Anolis sagrei: one gene and its partner. The protein of the gene in region 2 binds, or shares a complex with, the protein of the main gene of each other region. Links are inferred from orthologs where the notes say so. Each region holds a gene or a part of one and is shown on either strand. Other genes may lie near its edges.

What was found.
Region 1: SNRPF (region 2) and SART1 share a complex: the UniProt entries of both Homo sapiens proteins name them as parts of the U4/U6-U5 tri-snRNP complex. The link is inferred for Anolis sagrei from reciprocal best matches to the Homo sapiens genes SNRPF and SART1.

What each region holds. Positions count from the first base shown.
Region 1 is NC_090032.1:21,962,798-21,973,710, reverse strand, and holds the start of SART1 (U4/U6.U5 tri-snRNP-associated protein 1), read right to left. Parts: upstream 4,225-10,913; 5' UTR 4,171-4,224; coding exon 3,810-4,170; intron 1-3,809. UniProt on the Homo sapiens protein: Plays a role in mRNA splicing as a component of the U4/U6-U5 tri-snRNP, one of the building blocks of the spliceosome. May also bind to DNA.
Region 2 is NC_090025.1:155,432,011-155,442,170, reverse strand, and holds the start of SNRPF (small nuclear ribonucleoprotein F), read right to left. Parts: upstream 4,312-10,160; 5' UTR 4,167-4,311; coding exon 4,164-4,166; intron 1,322-4,163; coding exon 1,196-1,321; intron 1-1,195. UniProt on the Homo sapiens protein: Plays a role in pre-mRNA splicing as a core component of the spliceosomal U1, U2, U4 and U5 small nuclear ribonucleoproteins (snRNPs), the building blocks of the spliceosome.

The sequences.
Region 1 (10,913 bases), on a different chromosome or scaffold from region 2:
TTCTACATCTGCCTGACACCTCAGGAGGAGAAGGAAAAAATCCTGGTACTACTCTCCCCCTCCCTAGCCTGCTAAGAGGAGAAAGGGGACGGAGGAAGAGACTTTACAAACACCTGTCTCCTGGCTGTTGCTTACTACATCTGCCTGCCACCTCAGGAGGAGAAGGAAAAAATCCTGGTACTACTCTCCCCCTCCCAGGCCAGCTAAGAGGAGGAAGGAGACTAAGGAAGAGACTTTAAAAACACCCGTCTCCTGGCTGTTGCTTTCTACATCTGCCTGCCACCTCAGGAGGAGAAGGAAAAAATCCTGGTACTACTCTCCCCCTCCCTAGCCTGCTAAGAGGAGAAAGGGGACGGAGGAAGAGACTTTACAAACACCTGTCTCCTGGCTGTTGCTTACTACATCTGCCTGCCACCTCAGGAGAAAGAGGAAATCCTCTCCTTCCTTCCTTCTCTACCTTTCTTTCCTTCCTTCTCTCCTTTCCCCCTTCTTTCTCTCTTTCCTTCCTTCCCCCTTTCTGTGTATATGTGTTTTGTGTGTATATATACATGCATATATGTGTGTATATATGTGTGTTTGTTTATATATGTGGTTTTGTGCATGCGTTGTAACGTATTTTTATTTTTTTGTCTTTTAAAGTCTCTTCTGTAGTGTTTTTCAGTGTTTTTATGAGTGATGGTCACTTGTTGGCCTCACAGGTGTATTTTGTCCATATTTGGTGTCCATTCGTCCAGTGGTTTTTGCGTTATGTTAATCCCACAAACGAGCATTACATTTTTATTTATATAGATACTGGCCATCCCCTGCCATGTGTTGCTGTGGTCCAGTGTGGTGATCTCAAAAGTAAAGTAACGAGAAAGTGCTGGTTTCTAATACATGTAATTTCTTTATGTTTGTGAGTAAGCAGTATTTCTTGTTGTTTATTTTGTCAGTGTTGATGTGGAGAGTGTCTGGTTTGCCCACCCTGGAACAGGCAACATATCATAGTCCTTCTTCAAGGGTCCCTTTCAAAGCTATGATAATATATCTCTCTGTGTGTGAAGCATATCTATCTCTATCTATGGCTGGATGGCTCTTTGTCAGGAGGGCTTTGATTGGGTTTTCTTGCCCTGGTGAAGGGAGTTGGACTGGATGGCCTTCAGTACTTTCTGTTGGTCATGGGGGTTCTGCGTGGGAAGTTTAGCCCAATTCTATCGCTGATGGGATTCAGAATGCTCTTTGGTTGTAGATGAACTATAAATCCCAGTGATTACCACTCCCAAATGTCAAAAGTCTATTTCCCCCAAACTCCATCTGTGTTCATATTTGGGTGTATTGAGTGCTTGTGCCAAGTTTGGTCCAGATCCATCATTGTTTGAGTCCACAGTGCTCTCTAGATGTAGGTGAACTACAATTCCCAAACTCAAGGTCAATTCCAACCAAACCCTTCCAGTATTTTCTGTTTGTCATGGAAGTCCTGTGTGCCAAGTTTGGCTCAATTCCATCGTCTGTGGGGTTCAGAATGCTCTTTGATTGTAGGTGAACTATAAATCTCAGCAACTACAACTCCCAAATGAAAGTTTCAAAAAAAATTGTGTGAAGGACATACATTGGGTTGTTAGGTGTCTTGTGTCCAAATTTGGTGTCAATTTGTCCAGTGGTTTTTGAGTTACGTTAATGCCACAAATAAATATGACATTTTTATTTATATAGATAGATTTTCCAGATCACCAGACTGGGCCACAGCAACGCCCTGGCAGGGGATAGCTAGTAAATACATAAATAAATAAATTGAGAAGGAGGAGAAGGACAAAAGAAGAATGGGGAGAAAGAAGGAAGGGCAGAAGAAGGAAAAAAAAGAGCAGGGAGGAGGAAAGAAGGAGGCAAGAAGGGAGACGCCTGGAGCTTCCCCTGCTCTCTCACCGGCTCCCTGGGCGGCCTGCTCATGGGCCTTCCCGCGCTTCTCCCGCTTGGGCCTCCTGCGGAGAAGGAAGGAGGGAAGGAGAGAAAGAAGGAAAGAAAGAAGGGTAGAGAAGGAAGGAAAAAAGGAGAGGAGGGAAAGGAGGAGGGGTGGAGATAAAGAAGGAAAGAAAGAAGGGTACAGAAGGAAGGAAGGAGAGAAAGAAGGGTAGAGAAGGAAGGAAGGAAAGAAGGATAGAAAGAGAGGGAAGGAGGGAGAGAAGAAGGGAAAGGAGGGAAGGAGAAAAGGAAGGAAAGAAAGAAGGGTAGAGAAGGAAGGAAAAAAGGAGAGGAGGAGGGAAAGAAGGAAGGAAAAAGAAGGAAGGAGGGAGAGAAGAAGGGAAAGAAGAAGGGAAGGAGAGAATGAAGGAAAGAAAGAGAATGAAGGAAGGAGGTAGAGAAGAACGGAAAGGAGGGAAGGAGATAAAGAAGGAAAGAAAGACGTGTAGAGAAGGAAGGAAGGAGAGAAGAAGGGAAAGAAAGAGGGAAAGGAGGAGGGAAGGAGAGAATTAAGGAAAGAAAGAAGGGTAGAGAAGGAAGGAAGGAGAGAAGGAGGGAGAGAAAGAGGGAAGGAGTGAAAGAAGGAAAGAAAGAGAAGAAAGGAGGGAGAGAAGAAGGGAAGGAGAGAAAGAAGGAAAGAAAGAGAAGAAAGGAGGGAGAGAAGAAGGGAAGGAGAGAAAGAAGGAAAGAAAGAAGGGTAGAGAAGGAAGGAAGGAGAGAAAGAGGGAAAGGAGGAGGGAAGGAGAGAAGGAAGGAAAGAAGGGTAGGGAAGGAAGGAGAGACAGAAAGAGGGAAAGAAAGAGGGAAGGAGGGAAGGAAGGAAAGAAAGAGAAGGAAGGAGGGAAGGAGAGAAAGAAGGAAAGAAAGAAGGGTAGAGAAGGAAGGAATGAGAGAATAAACTAAGTGAAAGAGGGAAGGAAGGAGAGAAGGAATGAAAGAAAGAGGGAAGGAAGGAAGGAAAGAGACAAGGAGGGATGGAACCAAAGAGCAAAGGAAGCGAGAAAAGAAACAGGTAGAGAAGGAAGAAAGAAGAAGGGAAAGAAAAAGAGGGAGGGAAGGAAGGAGAGAAAGAAAGAAGGAGAGAAAGGCAAAGAAGGAAGAAAGTATTTAAAAAAGTGAAAGAAGGAAAGGGGGGGAAGGAAGGAGAGAAAGAGGGAGGGAAGGAAGGAAAGAGACAAGGAAGGATGGAACCAAAGAGCAAAGGAAGTGAGAAGGAGAGAAGGAGAAAATGAAGGAAAGAAAGAAGTGTAGAAAAGGAAGAAAGAAGAAGGGAAAGAAAAAGAGGGAGGGAAGGAGAGAAGGAACAAAGAGAAAAAGAGGGGGGAAGGAAAGAAAAGTAGAGAAGGAAGGAGAGAAGGAATTAAAAAAGTGAAAGAAGGAAAGAGAGAGGGAAGGAAGGAAGGAGAGAAGGAATGAAAGAGAGAAAGAGGGAGGGAAGGAAGGAAAGAGACAAGGAAGGATGGAACCAAAGAGCAAAGGAAGTGAGAAGGAGAGAAGGAGAAAATGAAGGAAAGAAAGAAGTGTAGAAAAGGAAGAAAGAAGAAGGGAAAGAAAAAGAGGGGGGAAGGAAAGAAAAGTAGAGAAGGAAGGAAGGAGAGAAGGAATTAAAAAGTGAAAGAAGGAAAGAGAGAGGGAAGGAAGGAGAGAAGGAATGAAAGAGAGAAAGAGGGAGGGAAGGAAGGAAAGAGACAAGGAAGGATGGAACCAAAGAGCAAAGGAAGTGAGGAAAGAAACAGGTAGGGAAGGAAGAAAGAAGAAGGGAAAGAAAAAGAGGGAGGGAAGGAAGGAAAGAGGGAAGGAAGGTTGACCATAACAATGCGTGGCGGGGACAGCTAGTTATTATTGTTATGATGATGATGATGATTCCTCACTTGCTCCCTGTGGGGCCTGCTCGTGGGCCTCTCCGCGCTTCTCCCTCTTGGGCCTCCGCTCGCCCTCCTGCCTCCGCTGCGAGGACGACGAGGACGGGCCTTCTTCTCCTCCTCCTCCGCCTCCTCCCCGCTGTCGGCTCCGCTCGGCCCGGCTCCCGCTGCGCTTGCTCCCGGCGCCGCTGCTCCCTCCTCCTCCTCCGCTTCCGCCTCCCCCTCCGCTGCGGTGCTTGTGCTTCTTGTGCTCCCGGTGGTGCCGGGACGACGACGAGGAGGAAGACGAGGCCGGCGGAGCCCCGGAGGAAGGAGGCGGATTCTCCTCAGGGGCCTCGCCCCGCTCCCGGTGCCGCTTCGAGGAGCCCATCGCGGCGGACAATGGCCGCGCTTCCGCTCCACAGAGACGCTTCCTTGACTCTGCACTGAGGGGAGGCTCACACTTCCGGCCAGGCACCAAAATAATCCCGATAAGACTCACTTCCGGGTGAAAAAAAGGTTCTGCTCTGTTGCGAAAATCCCCGGATAGGCTCACACTTCCGGTCCGTCGCCAAAATAATCCCGATGAGACCCACTTCCGGGGGAAAGAAAGGTTCCGGTCTGTTGCGAAAGTCCCCTGATAGGCTCTCACTTCTGGTCCGTCACCGAAATAATCCCGATGAGACCCACTTCCGGGGGAAAGAAAGGTTCCGGTATGTTGCGAAAATCCCCGGATAGGCTCTCACTTCTGGTCCGTCACCGAAATAATCCCGATGAGACCCACTTCCGGGGGAAAGAAAGGTTCCGGTATGTTGCGAAAATCCCCGGATAGGCTCACACTTCTGGTCCGTCACCGAAATAATCCCGATGAGACCCACTTCCGGGGGAAAGAAAGGTTCCGGTATGTTGCGAAAATCCCCGGATAGGCTCTCACTTCTGGTCCGTCACCGAAATAATCCCGATGAGACCCACTTCCGGGGGAAAGAAAGGTTCCGGTATGTTGCGAAAATCCCCGGATAGGCTCTCACTTCTGGTCCGTCACCGAAATAATCCCGATGAGACCCACTTCCGGGGAAAGAAAGGTTCCGGTCTGTTGCGAAAGTCCCCTGATAGGCTCACACTTCCGGTCCGTCACCAAAATAATCCTGATGAGACTCACTTCCGGGGAAAAGAAAGGTTCCGGCCTGTTGCGAAAATCCCTAGAAAGGTCTCCCTGCAAGGAAGAAGACTCCAGCAAGACATGGAGCGAGAGTTGCCAGATGTTCAAGCTGGGTTTAGAAAAGGCAAAGGAACCAGAGACCAGATTGCCAATATCCCGATGCTGGAGAAAAGCAGGGAGTTTCAGAAAAATATATTATTATTATTATTATTATTATTGTCAAAGGCTTTCATGGCCGGAATCCCTCAGTTCTTGTGGGTTTTTTCGGGCTATATGGCCATGTTCTAGAGGCATTTCTCCTGACGTTTCGCCTGCATCTATGGCAGACCTCTGAGGAAGCCTGCCATAGATGCAGGCGAAACGTCAGGAGAAATGCCTCTAGAACATGGCCATATAGCCCGAAAAAACCCACAAGAACTGAGGGATTATTATTATTCTTATAACTTTATTTGTACCCCGCTAGCATCTCCCAAGGGACTCAATGCGGCTTACATAGGCCGAGGCCTCAAAACACAATACAACAATACAATACATAAAGCAAATTAAAAATAGTTAAGCAGAGTAAACAATAACAGTAACAATACATCAAAACAATTATTAAAACTGGGCCGGCCAGAGTAGTGGGTACAGGATTAAAAGTGCTGATATTGCGGGAGGAATATAGGGTTTTAAAATAAGTGCAGTGTGCGGTGTGTAGAGATCATGGTTCTACTAAAGTGCATCAAGGACTTGGTATTGAGGTTCCTAATCTGAAAAGACACATCGGAACAGCCAGGTATTCAGGTTCTTCCTGAAGACTGCCAATGTAGGGGCCTGTCTAAGATCCCTTGGGAGGGTGTTCCAGAGTTGGGGGGCCACCACAGAAAAGGCCCTGTCTCGCGTCCCCACCAAGCGCGCTTGCGACACAGGCGGGATCACGAGCAGGGCCTCTCCAGATGACCGGAGTGAGCATGTGGGCTCATAGATGGAGATGCGGTCACGCAGGTAGGGTGGTCCCAAACCGTTCAGGGCTTTGTAGGTGAGCACCTGCACCTTAAATTGGCCTCGGAAAATAAATGGCAGCCAGTGGAGCTCCTTAAACAGGAGGGTTGACCTCTCTCTGTAAGGAGCACCAGTTAACATCCTGGCTGCTGCCCGTTGGACCAATTGGAATTTCCGAGCCGTTTTCAAGGGCAGCCCTACATAGAGCGCATTGCAGTAATCCAGTCTAGAGGATCAGACTAGAAGGCCAGATCAGCCTTCGCGAGGTACGGTCGCAGCTGGCGCACGAGTCTCAGTTGTGCAAAAGCCCTTCCGGACACCGCCGACTCCTGAGCCTCAAGCGTCAGTGATGAATCCAAGAGGACTCCCAAACTGCGGACCTGTGGCTTCAGGGGGAGTGTAACCCCGTCCAACACAGGTTGCCACCCTATACCCCGGTCAGGTTTACGATCGACCAGGAGGACCTCTTTCTTGTCTATTTCTGCTTCATTGACTCTTCTAAAGCCTTTGACTGTGTGGATCATCATAAATTGTGGCAAGTTCTTGGTGGGATGGGCATCCCAAGCCCCCTCCCCTCTCTCCTGAGGAATCTGTACAAGGACCAAGGAGCAACAGTCAGAACTGACCACGGAACAGGAGACAGGTTCCAGATTGGGAAAGGCGTCCGGCAAGGCTGCATCCTCTCACCCAACCTTTTTAACTTGTATGCAGAACACATCATGCGAGGATGTGCGGGGCTTGAGGAATGCAAAGCTGGGGTGGAAATTGCTGGAAGAAACATTCACAACCTCAGATATGCAGATGACACCACTCTGATGGCCGAAAGCGAGGAGGAGCTGAGGAGCCTTCTCATCAAGGCGAAAGAAGAAAGCGCAAAAGCCGGGTTGCAGCTAAACGTCAAAAAAACCAAGATTATGGCAACAAGAATGATTGACAACTGGAAAATAGAGGGAGAAAATGTGGAGGCCGAGACAGACTTTGCATTTCTAGGCGCAAAGATGAGTGCAGACGCAGACTGTGGCCAGGAAATCAGGAGACGCTTCCTCCTTGGGAGGAGAGCAATGTCCAGTCTTGATAAGATAGTCAAGAGTAGAGACATCAGACTGGCAACCAAGATCCATTGCCTAGTCAAAGCCATGGTCTTCCCTGTAGTCACCTACGGATGTGAGAGCTGGACCTGAGGGAAGGCTGAGCAAAGAAAGAGAGATGCTTTTGAACTCTGGTGTTGGAGGAAAGTGCTGAGAGTGCCTTGGACTGCGAGAAGATCCAACCAGTCCATCCTCCAGGAAATAAAACCCGGCTGCTCACTGGAGGGAAGGAGACTAGAGACAAAGTGGAAGTCCTTTGGCCACATCATGAGGAGACAGCAAAGCCTAGAGAAGGGAATGATGCTGGGGAAAGTGGAAGGCAAAAGGAAGAGGGGCCGACCAAGGGCAAGGTGGATGGATGGCATCCTTGAAGTGACTGGACTGACCTTGAAGGAGCTGGGGGTGGTGACGGCCGACAGGGAGCTCTGGCGTGGGCTGGTCCATGAGGTCACGAAGAGTCAGAGACGATTGAACGAATGAACAACAACATGGCGACAGATAGACCATAAGAAATACTAAAAACGCTATTACTTTGTAATACTATTAATATAAAAATATATAATAATATTATATATAATAATATATTTTAAACACCATTACCTTTACTATTACTATATGACAATAATATCATGATATATCCTAAATTGCAATATTATTACTATTAATATAACAATATATAATAATATTGTATATAATAATATAACAATATATAATATTACATATAATAATCATATATTTAAAACACCCTGACCTTTACTATTAATATATTACTTACTTACTTAGGCGATCCCTCGCTTTCCGAGGATGATTGTCTTCCAATATTCTTGTGGGTCCGTATGTGGCTGTGGAGCCCTCTTCTTGACCCGCATCTTCTCCCACAGTGAGGGCATCGGTTTCCAGGTGGAAGGCGGTCTTGGTCGGGGTTGGCTTGATGCACCTTCCTCTTGACACGTTTCTCCCTTTCGCCCTCCATTTGTGCCTCCTCGAATTCTGCAGCACTGCTGATCACAGCTGACCTCCAGCTGGAGCGCTCAAGGGCCAGGGCTTCCCAGTTCTCAGTGTCTATGCCAGAGTTTTTGAGGTTGGCTTTGAGCCCATCTTTGAAACTCTTTTCCTGCCCTCCAACATTCCGTTTTCTTGAGTTCGGAGTAGAACAACTTCTTTGGGAGATGGTGGTCAGGCATCCGGACAACATGGCCGGTCCAGCGGAGTTGGTGGCGGAGGACCATCGCTTCAATGCTGGTGGTCTTTGCTTCTTCCAGCACGCTGACATTGGTCCGCTTGTCTTCCCAAGAGATTTGCAGGATTTTCCAGAGGCAGCGCTGATGGAATCGTTCCAGGAGTTGCATGTGACGTCTGTAGACAGTCCACGTTTTGCAGGCATATAGCAGGATTGGGAGGACAATAGCTCTATAAACAAGCACCTTGGTCTCCCTACGGATGTCCCGGTCCTCAAATACTCTCTGCTTCATTCGGGAAAATGCAGAGCTCAGGCGGTGTTGTATTTCAGTGTCAATGTTGACGTCTGTAGACAGTCCACATCTCACAGGCATATAGCAGGATTGGGAGGACAATAGCTCTATAAACAAGCACCTTGGTCTCCCTACGGATGTCCCAGTCCTCAAATACTCTCTGCTTCATTCGGGAAAATGCTGCGCTTGCAGAGCTCAGGCGGTGTTGTATTTCAGTGTCAATGTTGACGTCTGTAGACTGTCCACGTCTCACAGGCATAGAGCAGGGTTGGGAGGACAACGGCTCTATAGACAAGCACCTTGGTCTCCTTACGGATGTCCCGGTCCTCAAACACTCTCTGCTTTATTCAGAAAAATGCTGCACTTGCAGAGCTCAGGCAGTGTTGTATTTCGTTGTCAATGTTGATGACTATAGACAGTCCACGTTTCACAGGCGTAAAGCAGGGTTGGGAGGACAATAGCTTTATAAACAAGCCCCTTGGTATCCCTATGGATGTCCCGGTCCTCAAACACTCTGCTTCATTCGGAAAAATGCTGCACTTGCAGAGCTTAGGCAGTGTTGTATTTCAGTGTCGATGTTGACTTTGGCGGAGAGGTGGCTGCCAAGTTAGCAGAAATGGTCAACATTTTCTAATGTTACACCATTAAGCTGTATCTCTGGCATTGGGGAGGGGTTGGCTGGTGACTCCTGGAAGAGCACTTTGGTTTTCTCGATGTTCAATGACAGGCCAAGCTTCTCGTATGCTTCTGTGAAGGTGTTGAGAGTGGCTTGTAGGTCTTCTTCTGAATGCGCGCAGACGACATTGTCATCAGCATACTGGAGTTCTATAACGGATGTTGTTGTGACTTTGGTTTTGGCTTTCAGTCTGCTGAGGTTAAACGGACTACTTATTTCGACAACGGAGAGGATTTCGGGGCCGACAGCGACGACAACATGGACGAGGCCGTGTATTGAAGACCTGGAGGGAGAGGGAGGGAGATACGCGGACACATATATATTCTGGGTATGTCTGCACTGCAGAGTTAACCCAGTTTGATACCTCTTTGAGGTTACTATTATTATGATTCTGCCGCAGAGGTGCTTTTCAACCCAGTGGCCTCCAGGTGGCGCTGTTGCTCAACTTCAGATGTAAATAAAGAGATATTTGGAACTTTTTTTATTTTTGGGGGAAAAATATTAAATAAAAATAAAAATAATATATAAAAAGAGAGTAAATTTTGTGGTGTTTTCTTTAGGAACGAATGGCAGCGTTTCCTAAGTTACATTATTGGATTGAAATGATTATAAGATATTATTCTAGTTATATATGTTAAATTACAATTATTATTTTATATTATGTTATTATTATATTGCAATATATTGCTTTTGATTTTTATATATATCTATATATATATATCTTCATATATGTCTTTGCTTTTGATTGTATAGATCTTCATCTATAACTTATAATTATATATATCTTATAATTATTTATATATATCTTATATATATAATTATATATATAATTTATATATATATATAATTTATATATATCTTCACATAGATCTATTGCTTTTGATTAGATATATCTTCATATAGATCGTTGCTACTCTGCTGCATGCTCACAGCAGCGTAGACAAGCACAAGGGCAGATGCCGTCACTGTGTCTAGTTGTGAACCCCAGGTTGTGCCAGTCAGCTTTCGTATGATATTTCTAGCGCCCACTTTTTGCTTGATGTTCAGGCAGTGCTTCTTGTAGGTCAGAGTACGGTCCAGGGTGACTCCCAGGTATTTGGGTGCGTTGCAATGCTCCAGTGGGATTCCTTCCCAGGTCATAATCCTCAGAGCTCGGGATGCTTATCTGTTCTTAAGGGGAAAGGCACATGTCTGTGTTTTAGGTGGATTTGGGATCAGCTGGTTTTCCCTGTAAGAGGCAGTTAAGAGCATCGAAAGTTTTGGAGAGCTTCTGTTCAGCCATTTCAAAGCTCCCTGCTTGGGTGGTGATGGCATGATCATCAGCGTAGATGAAACTCTCTGTCCCTTCTGGCAGTGGCTGGTCATTGGTATAAATGTTAAATATGAGGAGCTTTATTAAGAGGCATTAGGAAGGTTGAGAACTACCGACCTAAAGCTTCGGAGAGCTTCTGTTCAACCATTTCAAGGCTCCCTGCTTGGGCGGTGATAGCACTGTCGTCAGCGTAGATTAAACTTTCTGTCCCTTCTGGCAATGGCTGGTTATTTGTGTCAACGTTAAACATGGATGGAGCAAGCACGCTCCCCGGAGGCAGGCCGTTCTTCTGTTTCCGCCATCTGCTTCTCTGGCCCTGGAACTCAACAAAAAAGCTCCTGTTTTGAAGCAGATTTCCTATGAAACGGGCGAGATGGTCATCCTTTGTGATATTATACATTTTTTTTCAGGAGGAGGGCTGCAAGTTATGGTTTTCAAAGTGTTCT
Region 2 (10,160 bases):
CTGCATCTTATCTCCTGCTAGGGGCCACACATATATGCACGCACATGCACACACACACCATCCCATGAGATTTAAATCTCCATTCCTTGCCTATTAATATCTACAGATGGCCAGGAGAGGTGGTAATGAAAGTATCTCCTATCCCTCAGCATTTGCCACTGAAATTACTTGCAATTCCACTTCCATGACAAAAGTCTTGGAATTGGGATTGCTGTAGGTTGGGAAAGACTTTCACCTCTCTCACCAGATTTGTCTTAACATTACAAAGAACAATGGTAAAACAACATTCCCCCTTAACTCCTGATAGATCACCTGAATGCAAGACAAATAGGTTGAGTGTTTCCTCCAAAATTTGCAAGCTGTTCCAAGAGCATCCAGGGACCCATTATATTAAATTAAACTGTTTCACTTTCATCCCATGTTCATGAAACCTTGTATTTGCTTTTTATTAACAAGTTGATTTTTTTTAAAAAAATACAGAAGCCAGTAGAAATCAGATAAAATTGGAGTACTATGCAAGTAAATTCACAAATAAATTTGGCCGTCATGTTTAGTACTACTTGAATGTTTCCAAATAACTTTAAAAGAAAACATCACGTAGAGTGTATTAAGGTAAAGGTTTCCCCTTGACATTAAGTCTAGTCATGTCAGACTCTAGGGGGTGGTGCTCATCACCATTTCTAAGTCGAAGAGCCTGCGTTGCCCGCAAACACCTCCAAGGTCATGTGCCAGACTGTATGGAGTGCCGTTACCTTCCTGTAGAAGCAGGGGCTAACAGTGGGAGTTCACCCATTCCCCGGTTGCGAAGTGCCAACCTTTTGGTCAGCAAGTTCTGATGAGGGCATGAATAACATTGACTATTTGATTTATCTAGCATGTCTAGCACATTATCAAAAACTGTGCAAAAGACTTCCTGGCCATTACTGCCATCTAAACATTTAGCATGAAAGCAGACCACAAAGGTATTCTTAAACTATGTGCCTGATATTTCAAGGGGATGCAATCCCATTACTGAACAGAGTTAAGCTCTCTGACTGAGCAACACCTTTAAATCTTATTTACTCACATCCAAATTATTGCTGCATCTAAACAGTAAAGCACCGTAAACATTTTGTCCCTACAATATAGGATGCTTGGATACTTGTCCCTGTACTAAGAAGTTATTTCCATTGGGTTTTCTCCTGCAACCGTTTACCTGCATGTTCATGTAGCCATCAACAGACACGAGGTAGCCCTTATATTCCATTCCCCACTTCAATTTCACCATCACTGGCTTCCCAGTCAGCCCATTTAGGAAGGGCTTTGGATTGAGAGGCAAACTCTGCATGGGACAAAGTGGAATGTAAGAAATCTGATAAATCAGAAAAAAGGCATTCTACTCACACGCTGAATACTAGATGCATAAAGAAAGCAATGCATGAGGACATCACTTGTGTTCTTTCACAGAAATATACTGCTTCTCATATGGTAATGTATGTTCCTGATCAGTTGTTAAAGCTTTATGCCTCACAATTTTCAATAGCCTCAGTTTAAAGTCAAAGCAGAACTTTAAGAACTACATTGGATCAAAAAAAAAATGTAGCCCACTGTTTGAAATTACAACCTCTTATTATTTATTTATTTATTTATTTCGGGCTTTTATATCCCACCCTATCTCAACCTCAGCAGAGGGACTCAGGATGGCTAACAAATCGGCACACCATGGCGCCCACATCAAAAACATAAATACACAATTTAACGGCAATATAATAACAATAACAGTAATAACAGTATAAAAACGATCAATCAATCAGTCAGTGGTCACCGGTTTAAATCATCATCCAAGGGGAGTCCATCAGTTCTGTATAAGTCAACACGTCAGCAAGTCAGCCTAATCTACAAAGGCCTGATCGCATTGCCAAGATTTTACTTGTTTCTGGAAGGTGAAGAGGGATGCAGGGGATCTAATTTCACTCGGGAGGGAGTTCCATAGCCGGCGGTCACCACAGAAAAGGCCCTGCCCCTGGTCCCCGCCAGATGCGATTGTGACAATGGGGGAACAACGAGCAGGATCTCCCCAGATGATCTTCGGGCCCTAGGTGGATCGTAGCGGGAGATACGTTTGAACAAGTAAACTAGGCCAGAACCGTTCAGGGCTTTATAGGCCAAAGCCAGGATTTTGAATTGTGCTCAGATGCTGATAGGTAGCCAGTGGAGCTGGCGTAACAAGGGCGCTGTGAGCTCCCTGTACCCAGCCCCAGTGAGCAATCTGGCTGCCGAACGTTGGACTAGTTGAAGCTTCCGGGCAGTCTTCAGAGGCAACCCCATGTAGAGTGCATTGCAGTAGTCTATTTGGGATGTAACAAGAGCGTGGACCACCATGGCCAATTCAGGCTTCCCAAGGTACGGGTGCAGCTGGTGCACAAGTTTTAACTGTGCAAAAGCTCTCCTGGCCACCGCCAAAACCTGGGGTTCCAGGCTCAGCGATGAGTCCAGGATCACACCTGCACCTTCAGGGGGAATGTAACCCTGTCAAGCACAGGCTGTAACCCTACCGGCTGTTAGGAATTGAAGTCCAAAACACCGGAAGGGTTGAAGTTTGCCTGTGCCTGATCTACAGTGTGATCCAAACCTGACATTCCTCTATACACTGCGTCATCAGTTGGGGACCCCTCCCCCAAGTACCAACTGCTGCTCTGGGCCAGAGTGAAGACAGAGGGGAGTAGAAGACAGTTCCACCTTGTCTCCTGTGCTATTCTAATTTATATATATATATAATGTAATGCAATATAATACTAATATATTATAATTATACTAGCTGTCCCCTGCCACGCATTGCTGTGGCCCAGTCTGGTGATCTGAAAAATAAAGTAATGGTTTCTAATCTATGTAATTTCTTTCTGCTTGTGGGTAAACAGTATTTCTTGTTGTTTCTTTGTCAGTGTTGATGTGGAGAGTGTATGGTTTGCCCACCCTGGAACATGCAACATAACATTGTCCTACTTTAGGGGTCCCTTTCAAATCTATAATATTATATTTGTGTGTGTGTGAATCATATATATCTATCTATATCTATGGCTGGATGGCTCTTTGTCAGGAGGGTTTTGATTACGTTTTCTTGCCCTGGTGAAGGGAGTTGGACTGGATGGCCTTACATATTTTCTGTTGGTCATGGGGGTTCATTTGCCCCAATTCTGTCGTTGGTGGGGTTCAGAATGCTCTTTGATTGCAGGAGAACTATAAATCCCAGTAACTACAACTCGCAAATGTCAAGGTCTATTTCCCCAAAACTCCATCTGTGTTCATATTTGGGCGTATTGAGTATTCATGCCAAGTTTGGTCTAGATCCATCATTGTTTGAGTCCACAGTGCTCTCTGGATGTAGGTGAACTACAATTCCCAAACTCAAGGTCAATGCCCACCAAACCTGTGTGCCAAGTTTGGTTCAATTCCACTGTTGGTGGAGTTCAGAATGCTCTTTGATTATAGGTGAACTACAAATCCCAACAACTACAACTCCCAAATGACGAAATCATAGTTTTTTTGAGTGATGGTCACTCCTTGTGTAGTGAGACATTTTGTTGCCAAATTTGGTGGGATTTCGTTCATTGGTTCTTTTGTTTTTAAGGTACTCATTATGCACAGAGCATTTTATATAGATAGATATACATATAATATTTATAATATTATAATGCATTGCAATATAATACTAATATATTATAATTATATATTTATATTACTAATAATATTAAAATATAATGGTATAATACAATATAGTAATATTTAATACTGATATTGTACTGTACTATTAATATCATATATTGTATGTATGTATGTGTGTGTGTATATATATACCTTGTAAGCCGCTCTGAGTCCCCTTCGGGGTGAGAAGAGAGGCATATAAATGTCGTAAATAAATAAAAAATAAATACTACAACTCCCATCACCCACTGCTCCCTGCCATGAGGATAAGGGGCCTTGTAGTCCAATGTATTCGAGGGAGACAAGCAGGTGGACGCTTGTATCCAAGGGCTGGCTTCCCAGCCCACTATATCCGAGGCTGTGGGGCCTCCCAGCCGCCCTTTCCTTCCTTCCTCCCGCCTGAACCTCACTATGATCCGGCTCCCGAGGGCCTAAGGCCCGCAGCAAAGCCCCTCTTTCCTCCCAAAGACAAAGGCACTCACCATAGCAACCCGGCCAAGGAAGGGGAGGCTGCAAGCACACAAAAATTACTCTCAGGCAGCACGTGTGCCCGCCAGAGCTCTAAATGAAATACTCGGAAGTGACGTCCAGCTAGTTCCGTCTTCCTAATGACCTTTCACCCGCGCATTTTTCCCTCCTTCTGCTATTTATTTTATCCCCTCTTTCTATGGCGTTCTGTCTGTTGGGGGGAAAGCCACGCTCTGATTGGCTCGTTTCGCACAATAGAGGCGGGGCTACAGCTGCCAATGTTCGATGGAATTTAGAGACTAGGATTATCAGTGAGGCACTTCCGGGCTTTTTTTTTACTTCAACTCCCAGAAGCCTCTGCTGCTTTGGCCAATGATCAGGGATTCTGGGAGTTGAAGTCCAAAACGCCTAGGGGGCCAGCCTTTGGGAAACACGACTCAAGGAATATGAAAGGCTACTTCAACAGAGAAGTCAGCCAAAGCAGAGCACCAAACTGGGCACAGCAAATTATTTGAGAACACAGAAATGCTAGACCACTCTAGCAACCACCATGTCAGACTACACAGAGAAGCCATTGAAATCCATAAGCATGTGGACAATTAAAACAGAAAGGAGGAAACCATGAAAATGAACAAAATATGGCTACCAGTATTTTAAAAAATCTCTAAAATCAGGACAGTAAATAAAGAACAACACCAAGAAAACAGGGGAATTTATTTATTTACTTTATTTGTATACCGCTCTTCTCAGCCCTTAGGAGACTCAGAGCGGTTTACAACAATTTAGGTATACACAATATTTATTTACTTTGCTTATATACCGCTGTATCTCAAGCCCGAAGGCGACTCACGGCGGTTCACAAACAGTAAAAACAGTAGAAACAGCAGTGGTTCCATACAACATAAAACAATTGACTTAACACATTATCCATAAATTACCAATAAGCAATTACAATGCACAATTATTACAAAAAACAACCGTATCCAATCTTCTCATCATCCAAGCGTAGTCCATCATTAAGCATTTAAAAGCAATAGCATCACAAATCATTAAACATCAGTATCAATACATCACTACATCAATATAACAAATCCATCAGGCCTCAGCAATGAAATCAGAATCCAACTCGTTATCCAATATTCCGTGTTCCGATAGTCAGTCAATCAATCACACTGCTTAGTCGAATGCCTGTTCAAACAGCCAGGTCTTTACTTTCCTCCGGAATGCCAGCAAGGAGGGGGTCGATCTAATATCTACAGGAAGGGCGTTGCACAGCCAAGGGGCCACCACTGAGAAGGCCCTGTCTCTCGTCCCCGCCAGGCGTGCTTGTGAAGCCGGCGGGATCGAGAGCAGGGCCTCCCCAGATGATCTTAATGTCCTAACTGGTTCATAGGAGGAGACGCGTTCGGACAGGTAGGTCGGGCCTGAACCGTTTAGGGCTTTAAAGGCTAAAACCAGCACTTTGAATTGTGCCCGGTAGCAAATTGGCAGCCAGTGGAGCTGGCGCAGCAGTGGAGTGGTGTGCTCCCTGAGTGCCGCTCCTGTTAGCATCCTGGCTGCCGAATTGCAGGCAGGAAACAATCAGGATCAGCTACCATCCCAACAAAGGATTCCCCCAGGCAGCAACCAGCCAGGCATTGAAGCTGCAAGGCAATTCAATGCTAATCAAGGTGGCCATTTGCAACATTCACACTTGCCTCAAGCAGACAAGAGTTCTTTCTTCCACCCTGGACTATCCACAGATATATGAACCTCACTTGCCTAGTTTCCAACAGACCTCACAACCTCTGAGGATTCCTGCCATAGATGTGGGTGAAACGTCAGGAGAGATGTCCATTTTCTGGCTATACAGCCCAGAAAACTCACAGCAACCCACTGATAGTATTCTCAATGGAAAGGAAAGCAGTTACGATGGAACTGCCAATTGATCCACTGCAAAGCACCTCTATCATCATCATCATCATCATCATCATCATCATCTTTATCCTTATCATTATTACCACCTATTACAATGCATCCTGAGCCCTGCCGCATGCACAATGGAGGACGTTCTTATAGCAACACCAGAGGCACTCCAAGTGGCCAGCTACTGGTCAAAGGGCATGTAACATGGGTTGTTGTAGGCTTTTCAGGCTATATGGCCATATTCTAGAGGCATTCTCTCCTGACGTTTCGCTGCATCTATGGCAAGCATCCTCAGAGGTGGAGCCCCCGGTGGCACAGTGGGTTAAATCCCTGTGCTGGCAGGATTGAAGACCGACAGGTTGCAGGTTCGAATCAGGGGAGAGGCGGATGAGCTCCCTCTATCAACTCCCGCTCCTCATGCGGGGATATGAGAGAAGCTTCCCACAAGGATGATAAAAACATCAAATCATCCGGGCGTCCCCTGGGCAACATCCTTGCAGACGGCCAATTCTCTCACACCAGAAGCGACTTGCAGTTTCTCAAGTCGCTCCTGACACGACAAAAAAATAATAATCCTCAGAGGTTGTGAGGATGCTTGCCATAGATGCAGCGAAACATCAGGAGAGAATGCCTCTAGAACATGGCCATAGAGCCCGAAAAGCCTACAACAACCCAGTGATTCCAGCCATGAAAGCCTTCGACAAGACATGTAATATAATGCTAAGTTTTCAAACTTTATGTTGTTGTTTTTTTAAAAAAAATGCAATACAATTGTACCCTTGGTTCGCTCCTGGTACGATAAATAAATATAACTTTTTTTTTTACCAAAAGGAAAGCTATTACAATGATGTCAAACTGCATTAATTCTATAGTGTAGAAGCAACTTCCTCCCGTCTTCACAAGACTTTACAGTGAAGAGCCTTTGACTGCATTGAAGACTCTCCATGCCATCTGTTAGAATAAAGGCCTGAGACTCTAATAGCATCACTCTTTTACTTGTGCATGCTTTTTAACATCTTTGTCTGATGAAGAAGCCAATGTCTCAGAATTACAATCAGAATGCTGTTAATGGTCAATGTATTGTTATTAGGTACTTGAACATTTTTAGTATCTCTTTCCATCAGATGTATTGGGTCCTATGAATTGCTATATTTATATTGACCAGCAGGTGTCAGCAAATAGTTTTGGTTTGACTATAATCCTATTCATATCAGGAGTGGCCAGGACAACTGTTGCAGGCTGGTGACCCAAAATGACATTCTAGAGGACTAAGGCCCCTACTACACTGCCATATAAAATCCAGATTATCTGCTCTGAACTGGATTATACAGCAGTGCAAATCCAGCCTGAATTGAACTGCATTACATGAGTCTACACCAGGCATGGACAAACCTTAGCCCTCCAGATGTTGTGGACTGCAATTTCCATAATTCCTAACAGCCTACCTACCGGTGGTGCAAAACACCTGGAGGGTCAAAGTTTGCCCATTCCTGGTCTTCACTGTACATACAATGCAGCTTCAAACTGCATTATATGGCAGTGTAGATGAGGCCAAAGTGATATCTCCCTCAAAAACTACAACTGTCAGTCTTCCTTAATTTGTGGCGGTGTTTAGTGATAGACACATGAAATAATAGAATGTCAAACTGGGAGCTAGGTGGAAGGACAAGCAGAGTAATAACCAGGAACAATGAAATGGCAGTTATTTATTTATTATTTATTTATTTACTATATTTATATACTGCCCCTCTCAGCCCAGAGGTGGCTCGGAGCGGTTCACAAATTAGCAACAATTCCATGCCATATCAATTAAACAGTAAAAACAGTCAATAAATTCTATTAAATACAATAACATATAGTATAAAAATATAAAAATATATAAAAACCGTACAAAGCCTTAAAGCATTGTCATGAGCGTCTCCATGCCAAATCATTATTCCATTGTGTTGTTCCATAATTTCCTTTAGCTATGCTGTGTTTGGGAAGGCCTGCTCAAAAAGCCAGGTTTTCACCTTCTTTCAAAAAGTCAGAAGGGAGGGAACCGATCTTATATCTCTAGGCAGGGCATTCCACAGTTGAGGGGTCACCGCTGAGAAGGCCGTGTCTCTCGTCTCCGCCAGACACAACTGCGAAGTAGGCAGGAGCGAGAACAGGGCTTCCCCAGAAGATCTTAACATCCTAGAAGGTTCATAAGGGGAAATACGTTCAGATAGGTAAGCCGGGTTATATTATTTCATTTGTGTACTCGCTTTGTGTATTCCTTGACATCATGTGACACTTATGAAATATTGAAGTCTGTAAGATAATTCATGGTCAGCACTTTCTGTGAGCCCTTCCACACAGCCGTATAATCCAGAATATCATGGCAGAAAATCCCCCAATATCTGCTTTGAACTGAGCCCACACTGCCATATATTCCAGTTCAAAGCAGAAAATGTGGGATTTTATTCAGCTGTGTGAGAGGTAGTACACTCCGATCTAACTTATTTTAACCCCAATCAAAGGATAATCTACACTGTAGAATTAATGCAGTTTGATACCACTTTAACTGCCATGGCTCAAAGCTTATGAAAACTTGGGGCGATAGTTTAATGAGATACCAACCTATGGCAGAGAAGGCTAGACCTCATAAAATTACAGCTCCCACGACCCCAAAGCATTGGGCCACAGCAGTTAAAGTGGTATCAAATTGCATTAATACTCGAATGTAGATGCACCCTAGTTTTAGGAGAAAATCCAGAATATAAATGAAATAAGTAATATTCCCAATATTTCTATCATTATGAAAGACAGTATGAATATCATTTGTATTGATCTTACCAACCTCATTTGTCCACAAGGCATGAAATGTTTATGTGGAAATGAAGGCAATTTTTGAGCAAACGAAATAGAATAAATGGTTGCACATTTATAAGGCTGAAAATCTGCCCTTCTTTGTATTGGCATTGTGTAACAGCAATGCATTTTTTCTTTGGATTTGTCACAGTTCTTCCGCACACAGATTAAACAGCCATCCTATTGGGAGAGTATTTAAAAACAGTACAGTTTGCTGGTGGGATTTCATAAGCAGTTTCTGAGAAAATTGTATTTATTTCTGTGTTATTGTTTTCTTCCACATATTTTACATTCATTATTTGGACTAAAGTATATGTGCAGAATAGAACAAAAGTGTTTGTATTTAGGGTTGTTGTCAGGGAAGAGGGAGAACATCAGTCCTGGAGGAATCTGGAAGCTCCTCTTTCACATCAATGCTTTCTCAACCGAAACTCAACGCTGGCTTCAAATCACAGAAACCGTTCAAAAGCCAGGTTCCTGCCAAGAGAGATTACAGGCCTGGATGCAAAAACAGCATCCTTGGGGAAAATGTGTTGAGAGTAAGCCCAAACCTAATGCTCATCTTGCTGGAATAATATTTGAGAATATAATTATTTAAGGCAGCTTTAAAATCTGACAGTCTGTGGAATATACAACCCACAATCACTAGGCTTGTTCTGATTTTTAAAATATTTTTGTTTGGGGGGGGGGTTGACAGAATAATCGCTATTGGCAAGAAACATTAAGAGTTATGTGTTGTCAAAGGCTCTCACAGCGGGAATCACTGGGTTGCTCTGACTTTTTCAGGCTATATAGCCATGTTCTAGAAGCATTCTCTCCTGAGGTTTTGCCCACAGCTATCGCAGGCATCCTCAGAGATTGTGAGGTCTCACAACCTCTGAGAATGCCTGCCATAGATGTGGGCAAAACATCAGGAGAGAATGCTTCTGGAACATGGTCATACAGCCCAGAAACTCATAGCAACCCATTAAGAGTTACGCTGTCATTAAGGTTTTTAAATAAATTTTATAAATTCATAACGTTTGGGATTGACGATGAAGAAATCATTCTTGATAGTTCTACCTAAATGTCATGCAAAACTATTGGTTTCAGTTAACTTAAAGTTAGCATACTGTCCACAATGATACATTTCAGGATCACATAATTCTATATTTATGAAGGGCTCACAACCCCACATATGGAATTTATTGGTCAATCTCTATAAAAGAAAAAGCTTCCCGTATCTTAACACAATATGAACTGAAATAGCTTGCAAAAGCAATCACCGAGAA